Stegostoma tigrinum: one gene and its partner. The protein of the gene in region 1 interacts with the protein of each later gene in a pairwise test. Links are inferred from orthologs where the notes say so. Each region holds a gene or a part of one and is shown in the gene's direction. Other genes may lie near its edges. The genes, in order: urod and lratd2a.

Region 1 (11,640 bases):
CCAGCCAATGAAGTTGCACTGACAAATAAGAAAGGGATGATCATCTTGTATTATAGGCTCCGCCAATAGTCAGTGGGAAATTAAGAAGCAAATATGTTAGGAGAGCTCAGATATCTGTAAGAATGATAGGGCATATTAACTTGCCAAATACTAGCTGGATGGTGAAGGAGGCATTTGGAACAATTCTCTTCTTTGGTTAGAACACTGAGTACAGGAGTTGGGATGTCATGGTGGGGCTGTACAGGGCATTAGTAAGGCCACTGTTATAATACTGTGTACAATTCTTATCAACCTCTACAGGAAGAACGTTGCAGAAAAGACTTACAAGGATGTTGTCAGGGTTGAGTTACAGGGAGAGGGTGAACAGGTTTGGCTTTTTCCCTGAAGCATCAAAGGCTAAGTAAGCCTTATAGAGGTTTATAAAACCATTAGGACCACACAGGGTGAATAGCCAAGAATTTTCCCCCAGGGTGGAGTGGTCCAAAACTAGATGATATAGGTTTAAAGGTGAAAGGGGAAAGATTTAAAAATGACCCGACGAGTAACTTTTTCACGCATCATGGCGTGTATGGTATTACTACTGGCCCACTGTATCCGGGTTAGTCATGCCAAAAAAAATTGGTCAGTGGCTCTGTTTCAAAAGAATTATTCAGGGAACTATGACGTATGTGTGAAAGACAGAATTGGATTCAGCTGTCAAGTTTGCGCTGGAGTTCAAACAGCCAATCTCAATATGTAGGCTCATGTAGAAAATCTTAGATGAGATGCTGGGTGTATTTTTGGAACCACATCCTAGAAAATAAGGTAATTGTAACATAAGATCTTGCGTGTGAATAACAAAAGAACAAAATGAAAGTCTTAGCTTGGTTTATTCACCTCTCAAACCTAATGTTATGGGATTCAGTGCCTCATGATCATGGTATTCTATTCAACCCAGAGCTAAGCTTTGAACCCCATATTTCCCAGGCTCAAAAGACCAGCTTCTCTACTTCTATAACAACGTCCCTAGTACAACCTTTTGTTGGAACCATATTCATTCCTTTATTACCTTCAGATTGAGGATTACTTGTCCAACAAGTAAATGTCACGTTCTCTATAATCTACAGCTGACCACATTTGACTTACTGATAGTCCCTATGCTCAATGACCTACATGGTCTCCAGAAATCATGCTCAACTTAAAAAAAATAAGCAAACAATTGCCATAAATTTAAAATCATCAAAATCAACTCATTGCCCCTTCCCCCTCCAGCCCAATATCCGAAAACCTCTCTCCAAATAAAGCCGCCATTCCTTTTGGGCAGGGGACATAGAATTAGGGTAAGAAGCAGTAAGTTTACAGGGATTTGAGGAAAAATCATTTTCTCCCAAAACATCATGGGAATTTGGAACTCACTGCCAAATGATGATAGAGGCAGAAACCCTCTCAACATTTACAAAGTATATAAAATGTACACTTGTGATGCCAAGGTATGTAAGGTAAGTCCTGGAAAACAGAATTACAGTAGTTAGCTGTTAGCAGTTGACCAGTGGAGACTCAAAGGGCTAAAGCACCTTGCTCTGTGCTGTTGAGCTTAACGATTTTCTGTGCATCTACAAATGGCTGATGATCTGGAATTCCTTTCCCAAATTCATCTCGTCCAACTACCTGTGTTTACAACACCTTCTTTAAAATTCACTGGTCAACCCAAGCCTTAAGTTACCAGGGCGGATATCTTCTCCTCTGTCCCATCATTCACCAATGTTTGGTTGTATCACTGTCAACGTTTGGGATGATTTTCTGTATCATAGGTGCCTTTTATGTGCAAGTTCTTGTTCCTATATATCCATGCATATGTACACACCTCATTTCGCTTTACTGTTATATTAAATGAATAGTGTGCTGTAGCATATTTAAAATTTACCTGTTACATGGCCTGTAATCATAACCAAAAAGCTGCTGCTGTTTCTGAAGCCTTTCGGGTGTTTCCACTGGCACAAGTCGCTCGCCACCTTCAGGCTGCTTACACAGAAGAATCCAGCCTTCTGTTTCCTGACAATTGCTATTGTACTCTTGTAATTGCTCCTGTAGCATTATTGGAACAATGACAAATCATATAATTGATCTATTACATAAAATAATAACATTATAATTCCAACAGCTGAGGATGGCAATCAATACTGTGAATACATCTGCCACACTGTGTCCACTCAATGTTATTATAATTATGCAGCTCTTGCTGAAGGCTTTCCCCCGAAACTTATTTATCTCTTAAGCTAAGATCTTGTATCTTACAGAGAAGGTTTCAGCTCATTCACATCCAATAGCCTGTTCTGAAAACTCTGGTTATGTTTTGACAGCTCTAACAAATTACAACATTACAGATGAGAAAATCTGTAACATTTCAAAACAACATTGTAAAATAAAAGAACCTACAACATTCTAAACAAGAATGTCAATTTGCTCCATCGCCTAAAATCAACAGATTCTTTAAGAAATTGCCTGGAGTTAAACCTTCACCAAATACTAATCAGATCTTCCCTGAGCCATAACTGAAACCTGTCCATTGAATCTGGGACATACAAACATACGAAATATGAACAGAAGTAGATCATATGGCCCTCAAGCCTGCTTTGCCACTTAAGACGACTACAGCTGTTCTACTTGCCCTAGCAAAACTGGAATCAATAGGTATCAGGGGCAAACTCTCTGGTGGTCAGAGTCATACTTGATACGCAGGAAGATGGTTGTGATTGTTGGAGGTCAGTCATCTCCGCTCCAGCACAACTTTGCTGGAGTTCCTCAGAGTCGTGTCCTAGGTCCAACCAATGTCAGCTGTTTCATAAATGACCTACCTTCCATCATCATAAGGTCAGAAGTGGGGATATTTGCTGATGATTGCACGATGTTCAGCACCGTTTGTCACTCCTCAGACACTGAAGCATTCCATTTCCAACCGCAACAAGAACTGGACAACACCCAGGGTTGGACTGACAAGTCGCAAGTTAAATTTGCGCCACATAAATGTCAGGCTATGGCCATCACTAATATGACAGAATCTAACCACCAGCCCTTGAAATTCAATGGCGTTACCATCACTGAATCCCCACTACCAAAATCCTTGCAGTCATCATTGGTCAGAAACACAACTGGGCTCACCACATAAATAAGATAAAGTGTGGGGCTGGATCAACACAGCAGGCCAAGCAGCATCTTAGAAGCACAAAAGGTGATGTTTCGGGCCTAGATCCTCCTGAAGAAGGGTCTAGGCCCGAAGTGTCAGCTTTTGCGCTTCTAAGATGCTGCTTGGCTTGCCGTGTTCCTCCAGTCCCACACTTTGTTATCTTGGATTCTCCAGCATCTGCTGTTCCCATTATCTCTCTCACCACATAAATACAGTGGCTACAAGAGTAGGCCAGAAGCTATGAATACTTTGGCGAGCAACACACCTTCTGACTCTCCAAAGCCTGTCCACTATCTGCAAGGCACAAGTAAGGAGTGTGATGGAGTACACCCCACTTGCCTGGATGAGTGCAGTCCCAACAACGCTCAAGAAGCTTGACACCATCCAGGGGAAAGGAGCCGACTTGATTGGCACTACATCCACAAGCATCAACTCCCTCCAACGCTGATGCTCAGTAGCAGTAATGTGTACTATCTACAAGATGCCCTGTGAAAATTCAGAAGATCCCAAACAGCACCTTCCAAACCCACGGCCACTTCCATCTTGAAGGACAAGGCCAGTACATATATGGGCTGTTACCACATTCACGTTTCCCTCCAAGCCATTCACCATCCTGAATTGGAAATACATTGGTGTTCCTTCACTGTCGCTGGGTCAAAGTTCAGGAATTCCCTTCCCAATGGCATTGTGGGTCAACCAAGGCAGGTGGACTGCAGCGGTTCAAGAGGACAGCTCACCATCAACTTCTCAAGGGCAACTAGGCGTGGACAATAAATGCTGGCCAGCCAGCGACACCCACATCCCACAGAAATGAAGTTTAAAAATTTGTGAACTCCACCTTCCCACTTACCACTGATAATTTTGATTCCCTTGTTAAATAAGAATCTATCTTTCTGAAGAATCATATCTGACTCAAAAATGTTAACTCTAGTTCTCTCTCCATAGATGCGGCCAGACATGCTGAGCTTCTCCAACGTTTTCACTTTCTAGTTGCCGGAAACTAGAACTGTAGTACTTTGCTTTTATATAAATTAAACAACTTTTTAACATTCGTGCTTATAATACAGCTTTGTGCTGTTGGCATTTAACTGTGTAGTTTCTTGCTCAATTCCTTAAATCCACTTATTAAAATATGTGTGCCTCACTATAGAAGTTCATCACTATCCTATCACCTTAATACTATAAAAGCAATGACCACACTAACAATTACTTGCTTTGTACGCAATTCATTTTTGACATGACTCAGGACTACGAAAAAGATTTCATGAGAGGCAGTGATATCATCATTATGCTTTACAAAATGTGTCTTATCTCAGTGGCCTTAGTGAGCCAAGACAACAGAAATGTTTTTACCTCACTCACTGTTCAAACAAAGTCCAGCACACTGTTAAAGCCATTAACAAATGAAACAATGATAAAACCGAGATGAAGCTACTCAATGAAGTAGGAAGCTACTCACAGTAGGAGAAAACTTTCCTGATGCAATTGCAAGAATACTCTACCAGGACAATTAAAAACAAAAATTAGCAAATGGTTCCCAAGGAACGTACCTGATTCAGCTTCACCCACAGGCCGTGGCTGTTGCAGTATTCCTCTCCAGTTGCTTTGATGCAAGTCCCTCTCTTTAATTCAATGTCAAAGAGTTTCTTGCGCTGAGGCTGGGAGGCTAACTGCCATATTGAAACAATGTACTGAGATCGTCCCACTATGGTAGAAGACAAGGTGGAGTCTTTCCAGAATTTATACAAGACCTCTTTGGGGACATAACACAAGGCTTCTGGCAAAGGTTTACTGTTCCTGAAGCAATCAATGCACTCAATCAGAAACCTGATTCTTCCTAGAATCTGATGCGGATTGTCAGGATTCATTGTAATCTAAAATTAACACAACAATTTGAATGTTGGCATGTCACTGCTAATGTGAATAGTATTCTTACTACAACTGCATTACATTCAAGAAAAGTAATTTTGCAGGAAGGTTCTTTTACAGTGTAGCTCCCTGGTTAAATACCCAATCTATAGATTCTGAATCACTATAGTGTTGAAGCAGGCTATTCAGCCCAGAGTCCACACCAGCCCTTCAAAAAACATCCCACTCAGACCAAACACCCTACCATAGCCCTGCATTTCCCACAGCTAAACTACTTAGCCTGCACATCCTTGGACACTATGGGGCAATTTAGCATGGCCAATCCACTTAACCTGCACATCTTTGGATTGTGGGAGGAAACTTACGCAGACACAGGGAGAACATGCAAACTCCACAAGGACAGTCACCTGAGAATGGAATCGAACTTGGCTCCCCGGCATTGTGAAACAGCAGTGCTAACCACTGAGTGATCGTGCCAAATCTTTCACTTTACACAGCTCTACTATGGTATTCATTGATTTTCCTCATTTATTCTATTTAAAACATGCCTGGAAAAATGTGCAAAGTTATACAAGAAATAAGATGAGTGAATCACTTCATTTTTAATCTAAGAATAGTACTGGAAACAGCCAACTGCAACAGCGAATAGCAGAAAATGATGGCGTGAAAGAGTGCATAACCTCAGAGATGGTAACAGAGTGCTGGAGAAAGTTAGCAGGGCTGGTAACACCTGAGCCGAGAAAACAGCTAACATTTTGAGTCCAGTGACCCTTCATCAGAATATTAGGAAGATCCCCAGTTTGGGGGGGGAATTGTCTTATGAGCAAAGATTGAGCTGGTTGGGACTCATTGGAATTGGGACAAATTAGGTCATTGAGACACACAGGATTCTTAAGGGGCTTGTCAGTGGAAATGTCCTTTCCATATTTCCCCTGTCAAGTCACTTAAGAAATCTATGTGTCTCAATGACTTCAAGGGAGAGTCTACGACTAGAGGATATAATCTCAGAATCAGGGGTTGCCAATTTAAGACAGAGAAGGTTGTCTCTCTTTGGAACTCTTTACCACATCAAGTGGTGGGAGCAGAATCCTTGCATATATTTGAGGCTGTTATGGATAGACTCTAGATCAGTGCTGGAATCAAGTGTTATAAGAAAAGGCACAACAGCAGACGTGGGGAGTGTCAGACTGGCAAAAATCCTATTGAACTGGCTGAGCAATCAAAGGGCCAAATGGCCTACTCCTGTTTCTGTTTCTATTTCTTATGGTTTTACAGATGGTAATATATGCACAAATAACATTAACAATCAGCTGACAAAAAATATTCACTTCCAGAAATGCAACATGTTCCACAAAAACATGAACTGAAGCATTTTGTTTTGAAACCATATAAATCCCAAAAGGAGGGAAAAGGAGAGTGCTTCACATGATATGGTAAAATCTCAGGTTTTAGACTTAACTGTTGACCTCAAACCAATCCATCTTGCTGTCACATAACAAACACGCTATCACACATAATTTAAAGAAACAAACTAGGCAGTAAAACATTAACAAAACTAGGTTGCCATGAAAGCAACACGGGAGAAAAACAAAACACGGCGCAATTAAAAAAAGTTTATTTTAAAAGAACACTTTTCTTTGAAAACATTATTAAAGAGACTGGGTGGGCCAGTTGGGGGAGAAAATTAAATCATGCAGTTGAACTTTGAGGGACACATCCAAACAGACTTGGGAAATATAGCTGAAATTGAAATTGCAAGTGTTTGAGTCAGGAAACGTGAAAAGTCCACTGTAAACAGTTCAAGCTGTAATGATTGTAAATTCCAAATTTGAAAATTCAAGTTTCAGCAGATTTAAAACACGGACGATCGTCAAAATCACTTGGCACTCAAAGCAGAAAGCTACAAAATTATGGGCTCCCTTCTGCTGTTTCCACAACTTCATCAGCATCTATTTGAAGGGTCACCAACTTTCCTCCCCCTCCTACCAATACTGAGTTACCTTTCAACCTTACACGCCCTCCTCATCTATCTCTCCCATTTCAATTCTCTACCCACCCCCACCCCATGACCGCACTTACTTTGGTCACTCTCCTTCTGCTTCCTGATACAGGCGCGCTACGACCCCCTTCGCCTTGAGGTCCTTCCGTGAGGTCATGTGATCCCGCCAGCGATCGCCCTTCCAACGGTGCACCCGGCGCTAATTGGCTGGTTGGAATCACGTGGGAGCTGTCAACATGGCGCCGCCCTGGGCCCTGAGGGAAGGAGTAGTCGCTACAGCGGTGGCTGCCTAGGAGTCCGAGCGATATGGGGGACGGCGATTTATCCGTGTAAGTGAAAGCGGGCGTAAAACAACAGGAGCGGCGTAGGCTTTAAATCCGGCGGCGAGATTTCACTCCCAATAGGGAGGCCGCTGTAAACCGTCCCTCAGAGAAACTCCAGTCAGTGACTAATGTGGCTTCAGCCTCCAGGCAGCCACAGAGTTTAGCACAGCTACCCGAACGTCAGTAAAAACTTTAAACATTCAGGTCTGACTCCCTCAACGATATAACTCTTAAGGTGACCATGAACATTCCGGGGAAATCCCATAAATCAGCTTTGGGCGGTATTAACACTAAAGCTGCCAACTCTATCCCCTTCACAGTGAAGTTATGTAACTGGAAAAGGCCTCGTGATTCACCACTCCTGGTCTTAACCCTGTCAGTCGTGTCCTATAAATGTAACCTGAATGGGTTTGTCAGCTCATGTTTATAGTCTGAAGGGTAATGTTTGTAAACTGTAGGAATTAGCAGCCTTTATTCAATAGGCATGTTTTGATGTGCTTCAGTTACTTTTTAACCACAGCGTTGACTAAGTCCTTCCTGATATACCTTTCCTGTATTGGCCGAACCCCTAACTATTTTATTGTGTTGTGTGTATATAATGCCGTGCTGCATTCAAAGGCTGTGGCATTTGCATGAAGATGGAACTTGACTGACATACTTTACCAAATATGATCTTGTCAACTGATTTTCTGGTCTTTCAGCACACAAAATTCCATCTTCTAATTTGAAGGAACATTTTCATAATCATGTTTTGAATTCCTTTTGGTATAGGGATGATGGCTATTAAAGAGTGATTAGAAATTTGACAAGATAGTACTTTGTTTCATAATTTATCTCTGATAATGGGGATGTGATTACAGATTCTGAACAGTTTGCAGCTTTTTATACTGCCCTCCATAAGCTTTATCTGCAGATTTGATTTAGTGTTGCACTTTTTGTGCCAATTAGAGCTAGCATTAGTGATAACTAGCTGACAAAATCCACCATTTTGATGGATGACAACATTTTTGTGGTCTTATTAATATAAGTTTATTTAGCAAGTTTGATTGCTGGGGAATTTCTGTATGTTTCAACTCTTCAGTTGGTGTAATACCAGAAGCTGCCCTCCACCTTCTGTTTTCCAGGATAAATGACTTTGCAGTTAGCTGACTTGCAATGCACTCTTATCTGAAACAAAAAGTATCCTCCTTTTCTATCATCAGTATTCCAGTCAACTGTTTTAGTAGACAAGATCAGTTTGTTGTAGGCTAGATGCTTCGGAGAAATGCTCAGATGCACGTTAAGTATGCAAACGAATTCTTGGTGCCATTCAAAACAGGGGACCATACCTTAATGGCAGACCTCTAGCCATGTAACAGAAAAAAGGTTGCTGTGTATTTTAGCCTTTAAGTTCACTAGTGCAGTCTCACATTTACTGTAAATGTGGAAGTATTAGTTGGAATTAACAGAAATGTCATGACTTTTAATTTGGCAGCCTCCCATTTTTTGAGCTGATGGTGTGTCTTGAAGGTCAGCTTGGTGTTGATCAGCAGCATGATCCTGGGTCGTCTCTTTTTTTCTCCCCCCCCCCCCCCCCCCCCCGCCCCAACAACCTCCCTTCGGCTCACTTTACTCAGCCAGCTAATCTTTTCACTTATCCTCACTTCTCATGCCTGATTGTCTGCATCAGTATCCATGATCTTCATTACTTGTAAGTGTTCAGTAGCAGAGGTGTGGATGAATGGTAGATCGTGAACTGGCCACTGGGTCACAAAACAGAAAGTCTTTAGTATACAGCCAAGCTATCAGTATAATTCAGCTGAAGCTGAAGGAATCTTCGGAATCTTAAACTAGCTTACTAGAGGTTATTTGAGTTATATTATGTTGATGTATTTTTGGCATTAACAATTGAGAGATTTTTTAAGGTAAAGACATCTAGTGTTTCCTTCTCAAAAAGACTCAATCCTCATTTTCAAATGTGTTTGCCATTTTATTAACAGAATAGGAAAGTTTGTACGATGTCAGAAATTAAACATGGATCTTGGGAGAAGTGTCAAAAAATTATTTCTGAACTGTTTGACCAAAATAATATTTCGGTAAAAACATTTCCAACCATTGCATTTTTACAGAAGTCTGTGAGTAATGATTTGCTGATTCTTTAATAAATTGACTGTCATATGATTGAATGCTGAGTCAGAAGATTTAGGATTTATTCAAAGTCTTACACATTTTATTAGTCCTTGAATATTATTGGCTTCATTTTGAAGTGCAAAAATATCACAGCATATGTTGCAAATATTATGGTGTCTTAAATGTCACCTACATTCAGATTGCATAACTTCAAATTGTTATGTGGAACAAAAGCATGGAATCATACACAGCAGAAGAGATGCTTCAGCCCATCACATCTGTACCCCAAAGCTACACTAAATCTACACTCATTCCACGATCTAGCACTAGCCCCATAGCCTTGTACATGATGACATTTCAGGTGTTCATCCACATACCTTTTCAAGGTTATGAGGTTTCCATCTCAACTGCCCTCCCACGTCATGTATTCCAGAACCCCCCATCCTCTAGGCGAAAAAATATTTCTTCAAATCTCCTCTCAACCTTCGGCCTTTCACCTCAAAAATTATTTCCCTTGTTATTTACCCTTCAGCTAAGGGAATAACTACTTTCTATTCACCCAGTCCATGCCCCTGATTGTCTTCTACCCCTCTATCACATACTCCCTTCTCCTCCTTTGCTGCAGATAAAACAACCCAAACTTATCCTGCCTCGCTCCATTTAAAAAAAAATGCTCCATCCCTGACCGCATCCTGGTGAATCTCCTCTGCACCCCTCCAGCGCAGTCGCATCATTTCTTTAATGAGGCAACCAGAACTGTGTATTGTACTTCACCTGTGCCCTAGCCAAAGTCCTGTCCCTGTTCATGGATAATCACAATTACTTGCTGTTTTCTGAGGAGATGATGACGATGATTGAGGGAAAAGTGGTTGATGTTGCCTACATGGACATCAGTAAAGCCTATGTGAATGTCCCTCATGGCAGACAGGTACAGAAGGTGAAGTCACATGGGATCAGGGGGAACTGGCAAGACTGATACAGAACTGGCTTAGCCATAGGAGACAGTGGGTAGTGGTGGAAGGATGCTTTTCAGAATGGAGGGCTGTGACTAGTGGTGTTCCACAGGGAATGGTGCTGGGACGTCTGCTGTTTGTGATCTAAATAAATGATTTGTAAGGAAATGTAGCTGGCCTAATTAGTAAGTTTGCGAGTGATACAAAGATTGAAATTGCAGATAGTGAGGAGGATTGTCAAAGGATACAGCAGGATGTAGCTCAGTTAGAGGCATGGGCAGGTAAATGGCAGATGGAGTTTAATCTGGAACAAATGTGAGCTGATACATTTTGGAAGATCAAATACAGGTGGAAATTATACAGTGAATGGCAGAACCCTTAAAAGTATTGATAGACAGAGGAATTTGGGCGTGCAGATCCACAAGTAGATAAGGTAGTAAAGAAGGCCTATGGCATGCTTTCCTTCATTGGAAGGGGCATTGAACAGAAGGGTGAACAAGTTATGCTGCAGCTTTATAGAACTTTATTCAGGCCACACTTGGAATATTGCATACAGTTCTGGTCACCACACTACTGGAAGGATGTGGATGCTTTGGAGAGGGTACAGAAAAAGTTTACTGGGACGTTGCCTGCTATGGGGGATTTTCGCTACACTGGTAGGATGGATAGACTGGGTTTGTTTTCACTGGAATACAGGAGGTTGAGGGGCATACTGATAAAGGTTTATAAGATTGTGCATGCCTCGGATAGAGTGGAAAGTATGATGCTTTATCCGCAGGGTGGAGGAGTCAATTACTGGGGGGGCACAGGTTCACGGTGAGGGGGAGGAGGTGGGAGTTAAGAAATGTGCGAGGCAGATTTTTCACAAAAGGAGTGGTGAGTGCTTGGAACGCGTTGCCAGTGGAGGTGGTGGAAGCAGACACAACAGCATTCAAAAGGCACCTGAATGAACGTGAATAGGAAGGGAATAGAGGGATACAGATCCTTTAAGTGAAGACAGTTGTAGTAAGGAAGGGCCAAACGTCAGTGTGGGCTTGGAGAGCTGAAGGGCCAAAGGGTCTATACCTGAGCTGTATTGTTCTTCTGAGGAGGTGGAATGGGGAAATGTGGAGTTGGGGCAAACATGGTTAAGAGGAAATGGTAAATTTTGGACATCTGCTACCAGGGAGCAGTTACTATAGGATTCATTTTTTGAAATCTAAAATTTATCAATTTTGCTTAACT
Region 2 (11,330 bases), on another chromosome or scaffold:
TAATGGGAGTTATGTACAGACCTCCTAACAGCGATCAGGACCAGGGGCGCAAGATGCACCAAGAAATAGATAGGGCATATCAGAAAGGCAAGGTCACGGTGATCATGGGGACTTCAATATGCAGGTGGATTGGGTGAATAATGTTGCCGGTGGATCCAAAGAAAGAGAATTCATGGAATGCTTGCAGGTTGGCTTTTTGGAACAGCTTGTGAGGGACCCAGCAAGAGAGCAGACTATTCTGGACTTAGTGCTATGTAATGAGCCAGACTTTATGAAAGACCTTAAAGTAAGGGAACGCTTAGGAGGCAGTAATCATAATATGGTAGAGTTCAGTCTGCAGTTTGAAAGAGAGAAGGCAAAATCGGATGTAATGGTGTTACAGTTAAAGGTAATTATAGGGGCATGAGAGAGGAATTGAAGAAAATTGACTGGAAGCAGAGCCTAGCGGGGAAGACAGTAGACCAACAATGGCAGGAGTTTATGGGTGTAATTGAGGACACAGTACAGAGGTTCATCCCAAAGAAAAGAAAGATTATCCGGGGTGGGATTAGACAGCCATGGCTGACAAAGTAAGTCAGGAAATATATCAAAGAAAAAGAGACAGCTTATGAAGTGACCAAGAGCACTGGGAAATCAGAAGATTGGGAAGGCTACAAAAACAAACAAAGGCTAACAAAGAGAGCAAGACGGAAGAAGAAGGTCAAATATGAAGGTAGGCTAGCTAGAAATATTAAAAATGATAGTAAAAGCTTCTTTCAATACATAAGAAACAAGCGAGAGGCAAAAGTAGATATTAGGCTGCTCCAAACTGATGCTGGAAGGCTAGTGATGGGAGATAAGGAAACAGCTGAAGAACCTAATAAGCACTTTGCGTCAGTCTTCACAGTGGAAGACATGAGTAGTAGGCCAAGACTTAGGGAGAGCCAGGGGGCAGAGTTGAGTATGGTAGGCATTACAAAAGAGCAAGTGCAAGAAAAGCTGAAAGGTTTAAAAATTGCTAAATCTCCTGGCCCTGATGGGCTACATCCTAGAGTTCTGAGGGAGGTGGCTGAAGAAACAGTAGAAGCTTTGGTTGTGATCTTTCAAAAGTCACTGGAGTCTGGGAAAGTCCCAGATGATTGGAAAATTGCTGTTGTAACCCCCCGTTTAAGAAAGGATCAAGGCAAAAGATGGAAAATTATAGGCCGATTAGCCTAACCTCAGTAGTTGGTAAAATTCTTGAATCCATTGTCAAGGATGAGATTTCTAAATTCCTGGAAGTGCAGGGTCAGATTAGAACAAGTCAGCATAGATTTAGTAAGGGGAGGTCGTGCCTGACAAACATGTTAAAATTCTTTGAAGAGGTAACAAGTATGTTAGACCAGGGAAATCCAGTAGATGTTATCTATCTAGACTTCCAAAACGCCTTTGATATGGTGCCTCACGGGATGCTGCTGAGCAAGGTGAGGGCCCATGGTGTTCAAGGTGAGCTACTGGCTTAGATTTAGGATTGGCTGTCTGACAGTTAGCAGACATTTGGGATGAAAGGCTCTTTTTCGGAATGGCAACCGGTGACGAGTGGTGTCCCGCAGGGTTCAGTGTTGGGCCCGCAGCTGATCACCTTGTATATTAATGATCTGGATGAAGGAACTGGGGACATTCTGACGAAGTTTGCCGATGATACAAAGATAGGTGGACAGGCAGGTAGTACTGAGGAGGTGGAGAGGCTGCAGAAAGATTTAGACAGTTTAGGAGAGTGGTCCAGGAAATGGCCGATGAAATTCAATGTGAGCAAATGCGAGGTCTTGCACTTTGGAAAAAAGAATACAGGTATGGACTATCTTCTAAATGGTGAGAAAATTCATAAAGCAGAAGTACAAAGGGATCTGGGAGTGCTGGTCCAGGATTCTCTAAAGGTTAACTTGAAGGTAGAGTCCATGATTAAGAAAGTGAATGTAATGTTGCCGTTTATCTCAAGAGGATTGGAATATAAAAGCAGCGATGTGCTTCTGAGGCTTTATAAAGCTCTAGTTAGGCCCCATTTAGAATACTGTGTCCAATTTTGGGCCCTACACCTCAGGAAGGACATACTCGCCCTGGAGCGTGTCCAGCGGAGATTCACACGGATGATCCCTGGAACAGTAGATTTAACGTATGATGAACGGCTAAGGATCCTGGGATTGTACTCATTAGAGTTTAGAAGGTTGAGGGGAGATCTAATAGAAACGTACAAGATAACGTATGGCTTAGAAGGGGTGGATGCTAGGAAGTTGTTTCCGTTAGGTGGGGAGACTAGGACCCATGGACACAGCCTTAAAATTAGAGGGGGTAAATTTAAAACTGAAATGAGATGACATTTCTTCAGCCAGAGAGTGGTGGGCTTGTGGAATTCATTGCCACGGAGTGCAGTGGAGGCCGGGACGTTGGATGCCTTCAAGGCAGAGATCGACAAATTCTTGATCTCACAAGGAATCAAGGGCTTCGGGGAGAGTGCAGGAAAGTGGAGTTGAAATGCCCATCAGCCATGATTTAAATGGCGGCGTGGACTTGATGGGCCAAATGGCCTTACTTCCACTCCTATGTCTTATGGTCTTATGGTCATACCCTACCAATTTTACAGATGGACTCTTTGTTTAAACCAATCATAATCTTTCTTTTTCAATGACTTTCTAGATTCATAACCACAATCATTGCTTGCCACATCAGCTTCTCATTTTCATTTAGGGCAGTTTTATTTAAAACAGTGTCCCCAATCTCCTCCACCAGCGCAATCCTCTGAGATATCTATGCTCTTTCTATTCAAATCTCTTGCACATTCTCAATTATAATTGTTCCACCTTTGGTGGTTATATCTTCTGTCATTGGGCCTAAAGCTCTGAAATTCCTTTGGACACCACTCTTGCTCATTCTCCTCCTTTAAGATCTTCTTTAAAACTTCCCTACTTAACGAAGTTTTTGTTGTTATCTGGCCTAATTAATTCATGTGGTCCAGTACCACCATTGCTTTTACGATGATCTTGTGAAATATGTTGGAATGTTTCATTATGTTAGAGGCACTAAACAAATACACAATTCTCCATTTTGCATTGTGACACACATACCGTCATTTGGAAGAAATCACCAAAACAGTGCATCCCAAACTTTTTAACCTGGTGACAACAATGCAAGTTTTGAAAATTGTCACAAGCCATCAGTGAGAATTGAGAGGTGAGAGGGACTGGTAAGAATGTGAACCTGTCTGGTAACACAGTTCTAACTTGTGCACAGCCCCATGATGGCTACTGCTACCCTCAGAGTTTGTGACACCAAACCTTTAGCTCTAGACCACACTTGGGGTCTCAACCACTATTCTGGGAAACTCTACAGTTAGCACAGTTGGCTGGGCAGCTGCTTTACAATGCAAAGTGATGCCAACAATTCCCACACCAGCTAAGGTCATCATGAAGGTCCTGATTTTATGACCTCACCCCAGCACTGAGGCATGGTGACCCTCAGGTAAAACGTGTCATCAGTTAACTTTCTCTAATGAGAGAACAGCCCTATAGTCCTTTGGGACTATGGTGGCCACTAGTGTAGAACATTGAGAGGCTGCTAACACTTTAGCCATAAGTGATCATAGATACACCCCAGGCATTCTCATGCCACGCTGCAATTAAGTGGACATTGAAGATACTTCAGAAAAAAAATGTAGAAATAAAATTAAAATGTTACGATGAATCACAGACATTTGCTGATTCTTTTGGAATATTTGTCATTGAAACCCCTTACTCTCTTCAAGGCCGTAACAAAAGTTTTATCATAAAGCATGCAAGCACTGAATAGTTTCAACCTGACAATTAATGACAGCAGAAAAAAGTAAAACATCACAGAAAAACGCTGGTATGTGTTTCATTCAACAGATGGAATGTGTTTTTGAAAAGGTAGCTAGTTATCTGACATGTCTCCTTGTTGGTGTTCTTACCTCGAGTTTGAAAGTCACAAGAATATAATCCAAACTGATACTCCCTCAGTTTTGCACTGCTAATTGGGGCAATCTTTTGGATGAAAAGTTTCTTTTTGATGAAAACTTAAATTGAGGTTCTGCACATCCTCTCAGATGGACATAAATGACCCATAGCACTATACAGAATTTCTCGTTGTCCAACATTTAACACTAGACTAACTCCAGTGAAACTGATTATCTGATTATTTATCTCTCCGTTGTTTCTCTGCATAACACCAGTGGATATACTTCAAAGTCACTTAAATGGCAGTGCAGTGCTTTGGGCCAATGTCGGGATATAAAAGATATCATACAAATGCAAAATATATTTTTTTAATATTCAAATGGGCAGATAATCTAAAGCCAAATGTACAATTGAACACAGTTTATGTTGGAGTTCTTCAAACTGTCCCAATTGGGTCTTCTTGTAGACATTGATAGTTTTACGACCAATTCTGAAATATGTTGTCAGTTTCCCTCTGTTAAAATTCTATTGAATTGTGTTAAAATTCTATTGAAATCTATCACAAAAGATTAAGCAGTTGCGATATTTCTTTTTGTTTTGCTTGTGGATCCTGCTTTGTCTAGAATTGTTTTTGATCATATATTACACCATCACTGTTGTTAGACTCTGAGAATTGAATAAAACATCAAAATAAAAAGGATCCAATGCATTTCTTTGGCATCTGAAGCTTCTTTAATAAAATGTAATTTAAATAACTTGTCTGACAAACAGGAAGTACAGAATGGAAATTCTGATCATTTTAAATGTTCAGATCAGCTCAGCTCTGTTGCATCTGAGCATTGAGCATCTAATTTAAATTTACAATGCAGGGTGTTACTTTGGGAGTGCTGTGTTGTGGAAGGCCCAGGCCCTTGGAGAAGGCACTAAACTGAGGTCCCGTTTGTTTTTCCAGATTACACAAAAAAGATCCGATTTCAAAGATTCCTCATCCAGACACTATCACCAAAGCTGCTCATTGCTATCGGAAGGTCTAGGTATGTGCAAGACGCTGTTTTAATTTTCAGGGCAGAGGGCCATCTTTTGGATTACTTTGGGAGGCTAAGCTTCCATTACAAAGGACACTGGTGAGACTACATCTGGACTTCTGTGCACTGTATTTGTCACCTTAAAGATGCAAATTTAGAGAAGATTGACTACATTATACCAGAATGAGCAAGCGGCCTTATAAAAAAAATTTGACAAGCTAGGTAAGTATCAGTTGGACTTTAGAACAATAAATGATAACTTCATTGAACCATGTTAGACCCTTACCAGTCATGAAGAGTTGGATGTGAAGACGATATTTCCTCGAACCTTGAATTATTATGATTATTGAAGGTCATCCTATGGCACATGGACTGCAGCAGTTCAAGCTCACCACCACCTTCTCAAGGACAACTAGGATCAAGCAACAAATACTGGCCAGCCAGTGATGCCCATGTCCCACAAGTGAATCAAAAAACATGAGGAGCTGGCCATTAAAAACTTAATCAAATTAGTGAGACCCGATTTCCCATGCACAAAGCCATGTTGACTATCTCTAATCAGTCCTTTCCAAACACATGTCCCTCAGGATTCCCTCCAACTTGTCCACCACTGATGTCAGGCCCACCAGTCTATAGTTTCCTGGCTTTTCCTTACCACCTTTCATACATAGAGCATAGATCAGTACAGATGAGGTGCACTTTGTTTTTGCACAGAGTCATGAGCTTTTGGAAGTCTCCTCCAAAGAAGAGAAGCAAAGATTTTGATTTTAAGGCTGAGGTAGGTAGATTCTTGTTAAGCAACTTGTGAAAGGTTATCGGGGTCAGGATTGTGGATTTGAGGTTACAATCAGATCAGCCTTATCTTACTGAATGACAAGGCAGATTAGTGGGGCCAAATGACTACTGCTGCATTTCTACATTGGACATAAAATAACTCCCTGTTCTATTTCTCTCTAGTGCCCTGGCCAAGATCTGTCCCTTTCCCAACTTCTAAAAAGAAGTTATCAGGCAGGCTATGGCATTGCTGTTTCGTCGCCTGAAGTGGCTGTGCGTGCAGATCAAAAGGTCTGTTAAACATTCCGGAAGGTTGTGGCAGGTGCTACGTGAATGCAAGACCTTTCAAAATAATTTGCTGTAGGCCTTTGGGAGTATTGATTTGTACGATCTCCTGAATGTTGGGAGAGAAGCGGCCCACAATCACACGTCAGTCCTACTGCAAGTGAGACACTGCATAACCTTTGAACCATATGTGGAATGTGAACTTAATACACCCACGTCTTTCGCAATGCACAAACGTCTTTGTCCTCGGCAGAGATTTCATCGGCCAATACCGGAAGGTTTGCGATTTCTCTCTCCCCACCCCGCGCCCAGATACAGTTCCCGAACCTGATCAAACTGGTCTCATTGCAACTCCAACATGACTTGGCCGGATCTTCCTCTTAGCGTTAATGCCGTCCAAAAAAAAGATAAAGAGCAGAGACTTTTTTTTCTCAGACACGCAGCAGGTCTGTCACTATCTGAGAGCAGAAATGAACTGACACAAGCAGTTTCATTTCTCAGGTGCCGAGAGCCCGCTGCCGATTTACAAACACCCCCCCGCCCCCCCCCCCCCAGGTCGGATTTGCAAACCTTCGCTCTGTACGTGCACATAAAACACAGTGGCGTTCCTAGCTTCGCCGTCCGCTGTCGGAATTCTTGCAGGAAAGTAGTTTTTCAAAGTGGCAGAGCCCGAGAGATTGTGTGTGTGTGTGTGTGTTTGTAAACGACCAGACAGTGGATGGGGGCGGCATTCCAGAAGCTTTTGGCTGCTCCCCAGAGTTGGCAGATCCTTTGCGCTTCCGCCAGCTCGCTTACCTTGACGTTTCCGAGACATAGAGGGAGGGAGTGAGGGAGAGAGAGACCGAGGGTCGGTGTGAATGAGTCACATTCTCAGGCGAGCACGCAGTAGCGGCACAGCAGCTCCGCTGTTCAGCTGATATCCTTCCGGCAGTGGCTGAGCCAGTCTCCAGGAGAGAGAGAGAGAGACTGTGGGAGACAAGGGGCGGGGAAGGATCCCTCCTACCACTCTCTCTCTCTCAGACACACAATCTCTCCCTTTGGTACCTGTTTGCAGTTTGGACGGACTGCAACACCTGAGGCAAGGGAGGACGACAGCCAGGAGGAGGCTCTACAAACCCAAACTCCTTTCAAATCTCAAAAGCCCACAAAACAACTGTACTCCAGTGCCGAGGAGGGGGAGCTATCTGACTATTGATCGACTCCAACTTTTTATTTTACTTCCCCATCGCCCCCGACCAACCCATCCCTCCGCTTATTTGCCATCGCTGCTGCCCTGGACCCTCAGACCCGATGGAGGCCGGTGTGGAAGACCCTTTAGCCGGGAGGACTGGAGCCTGAGTTTGCTCGTCCTGTTTTGTTTTTACAGGTGGAGATTATTTTTGTTATTTCTCCCCAACCTCCGCCTTTTTTCGTTTCACTGTTTGCCGGGGGTTGGTTTATTTACAGTCCTGCGAACTTGTGTGTGTGTTTGTGTGGTTTTGTAAAAAAAATTAAGAATACACAAGGAAAGGAGGTCGAAGTTGAATGGGGAACCAGGTGGAGAGACTGACCCATCTGAGTTACGCCGAGGTACCTACGGCGGAACCGGCCGGGACGGAGCCCGGGCCCCGCATCGGGGTCTCCTACATCTTTTCAGTGGATGAGGACGATGATTTGGCGGACGAGCCGGTGGCCGGAGAGACGGGGTCGGGTAGGGGTCCAGCCGCCGGCGGCGAGAGGGAGTGTGACCGGGATAAAGAGGAGGACGGCGGGGACACGTACGACCTCCTGAACGAGGTGGAGTGCTCCGTCTACTACCGGGACCAGTGCATCTACGAGAAGAGGAGGAGAGCAGGCCGCTCGGCCAAAGGAGACGGCCAGGAGCTGCTGACCCCTCAGCCGGCCGAGATCCTGCTGGGAAGGTGCCAGCCCGGAGACCTGGTGGAGTTCGTGGCGGCGAGTCAGTGCCCTCATTGGGCCGTCTATGTGGGCGACTTCCAGGTGGTACACCTGCACCAGGCGGAGATCCGCAACGACTTCCTGACGGATGCTAGCCAGGGCCGGAGGGGCCGCCTGGTCAGCCAGCGGTACCGCTTTAAGGCGCTGCCGGCCGACGCCGTGGTCCGAGCCGCCCTGCAGCAGGTCGGCGTGCGGGGGGCTCAGCTCCGCTGGAGTAGCTCCGAGTGTTTCGCTGCCTGGTGCCGCTGCGGCCGCCGAGAGTTCAAGGTTGGCGGGGAGCTCCGCATCGGCAAGCAGCCGTACCGCTTACAGCTTCACCTGTCCGAGCACAGCAGCCACACGCTCGAGTTCCAGAGCCTACATGACCTGATCCTGGAGAAACGCCGCAATGACCAGATCGGCAAAGTGGCTTTGATCCGGGAACTGGCCGCCCATCTGCACAGCGACGAGCAGCAGAGGACTGACCACTGACACCCCTGCTGAGGGGATCAAGTACCAACCTGCGACAGACCCACCATCCCAATACTGAGAGGGTTCAACCTGGGACAGACCCCACCATCCCAATACTGAGAGGGTTCAACCTGGGACAGACCCCACCATCCCAATAGTGAGAGGGTTAAACCTGGGACTGACCCCACCATCCCAATACTGAGAGGGTTCAACCTGGGACTAACCCCACCATCCCAATACCAAGAGGGTTCAACCTGGGACCGACCCCACCATCCCAATACTGAGAGGGTTAAACCTGAGACTGACCCTACCATCCCAATTCTGAGAGGGTTAAACCTGGGACAGACCCCACCAACACAGTACTGAGAGGGTTAAACCTGGACTGACCATACTATCCTACATGGGTTAACATGGGACTGACCAAACCACCCCCTACTGAGAGGGTTAAATCAGGAAGCGACCACACCACACTTGCAAAGCAAATCAAACCCGAACCTGGACCTGACCACCATCACCTCCAAACTCCAGAGGCTTACATCATGGTCTGATAACATCAACCCCACAGAGGGTTATACTTTATTCCAGGACTGACCACGCAACCCTGCTTCCCACTGAGAGGGTTAAACCCTGGAACTTACCATTCAATCACTGGTAAGAGGTTTAAATCCAGCCTACAACCACCCCCCAAAACCAAACCTGGTTATCCCTTGGGATTGACTACACTCCGCCCACTGAGTGGGTTAAACTGACCTCCTCCACATGCCCAATCTGAGACTGATCACACAACACCCACAGAGCAGGTCAAAAACTACGAATGACCACAAAACACTGAACCATTTAAAATCCGGGACTGATTATGACACAGACTGAGCAGATTAAAACTCCATAACACACATTGAGAGGGGTAAAACCCATACAGCCTGGGATTGACACTGAGCAGGTTAACCATCTCTGCCAACGTGCACCCCTCCTCACCAAAAAACTGGGACATTTATTGATTATTCAGGCTGGAATGAAAAGTTTCACTTCAAGTTTCTTTCCTATTTCCTCTCACCCAGACAAACTGAAAGGAAGCATTATCAAGTCGGTGGATTGCACAAAAGTAAAAATGTAATCATGCGTTAGCCACACTGTGTTAATTTTCCTGCAACATTCCTCAGTTAATATAATCACCGTTTATTGTGATACTGGAGTGTTGGGGTTGTTTCGTACTCTTGATAATCTGTGACTTCTCTTGTTACTTTTCCCCAAACCACCCCCTCTTCCTCCCCCACCCCAACCCTCCATCTTTTTATATTGCTTGGGTAGATCAAACCCTTGCTTTAACTGAGAATGAAATAACTTCGCTTCAGAAGGGGAACATTTCTCAGTCATAACAGTTCCTTCAAAATGAAGGGCAAAGTTTAATAGTAGAAGGGGTCAGTTAGGTCGATCTGAAGAAAGCAAGAAGTTAAAAACGGTTGTGGTGATGGACAATGCACACTGGGTTAGAGTGATTCAGTCAGGAGCATTCTGAAGTGCATTATTTGCCAACTAAAGCGTACAAATACTTTATACAGTTAGCTGGAGAAAATAGCACCTACTGATTTTAGTTTTTAAGTTCAGCTTCAAGCCCGTATTGGTTTTGGTTGGTTTCCATTGTTGATGATACATGTTCCCATGACACATTGAAACAGAGTTTGAAGGTATTCATATTTCTTGCACATCTTTATTGAGATTGAATTGAATATTTTTATAATGATATTTTTGAATTTATTGTGCATTAAGTTATGCACTATAGTTGATATTTTTGCCTGCCTTACTTTTGATGTGTGTGACATGTCAAAGTTTTGCAAGGTTCTAAAGATCAACAGAATGCACAGACCATGTATTGATAGTGTCTAAATAAGCACTTGTGTACATTGCGAAACCATGTAATAAAATGTTGGAATATGTGATTTTCCATGTGAGAAGCATTGTGAAGTATTCATGCAAACATAGGGAAATTTTCCTCAAAACTCTTATCTCTCTATTCCACTCCTTTGCATCATTTCCCACCCACAACCCATTAGGAAAGTTTTACAGTGCATATACTTCTGCTATAGTATTCTGTCTCTAAATTTATGTAGCTGTTTTCGCAACATCTGGACATTCCAAGGTGTTTAATAGCTGATTTAAATAGTGTGGGGAGGTGAAGGTCTAGTGGTATTATCGCTGGACTGTCAATCCAGAGACCTTGATAATGTTGTGGGGACCTGAGTTTGAATCCTGCCATGGCAGAGGGTGGAATTTCAATTCAATAAGTGTCTGGAATTAAGAATCTGATGATGACTGTGAATCTGCTGTCAATTGTCAGGGAAAACTCAGCTGGTTCACAAATGTCATTGAGGGAAGGAAACTGCCATCCTGAACTGGACTGGACTACATGTGACTCCAGACCCACAGCAATGTGGTTGACTCTAAACTGCCCTCTGGGTAATTATGGACTGACAGTAAATGCTGCCTAGCCAGTGATACCCGCATCCTGTGACTGAACAAAAAAGTCTTATGTATACTTACATATGAAATAATTACAGTTATTGTTATAATGTAGGACACACAGCAATCAATTTGTAAACAGCAAGCTCTCACCGATAGCAAAGTGATAATCAGTAAGACTGTTTTCTTTTTTGTGATATTGATTGAGGGACAAATATTGCCCAGCTCACTAGGGAGAACTCTCTGATATTCTTTGAAGTAGTGCCATAAGATTGTTTTGCATCTTCTTGAGAAGGCAGATGGGGCCTTGTTTAAACTTTTCATCTGAAAGACACAGCCTGCAAGAGTCAACACCCTGCCCAGGTACTGCAGTGGTTTATAACTCTAGTTTATTTTGTGTTTAAGTCCTGCCTTGGGACTTCAACCATAGTAGTTTACAGAGGAGGCCATTTGGCACGTTATGTCTGTGTCTGCT

Evidence for each region.
Region 2: the proteins of urod (region 1) and lratd2a interact in binary tests that used the Homo sapiens proteins (3 or more experiments, as listed by UniProt). The two-hybrid records come from large-scale screens. The link is inferred for Stegostoma tigrinum from reciprocal best matches to the Homo sapiens genes UROD and LRATD2.

Annotation. Positions count from the first base shown.
Region 1 is NC_081361.1:72,491,374-72,503,013, reverse strand, and holds the start of urod (uroporphyrinogen decarboxylase), read left to right. Parts: upstream 1-7,224; 5' UTR 7,225-7,337; coding exon 7,338-7,360; intron 7,361-11,640. Other genes in the region: E3 ubiquitin-protein ligase HECTD3, read right to left, coding at 1,904-2,064, 4,714-5,031. UniProt on the Homo sapiens protein: Catalyzes the sequential decarboxylation of the four acetate side chains of uroporphyrinogen to form coproporphyrinogen and participates in the fifth step in the heme biosynthetic pathway.
Region 2 is NC_081358.1:48,459,714-48,471,043, reverse strand, and holds lratd2a (protein LRATD2a), read left to right. Parts: upstream 1-6,579; 5' UTR 6,580-7,534; coding exon 7,535-8,419; 3' UTR 8,420-10,340; downstream 10,341-11,330.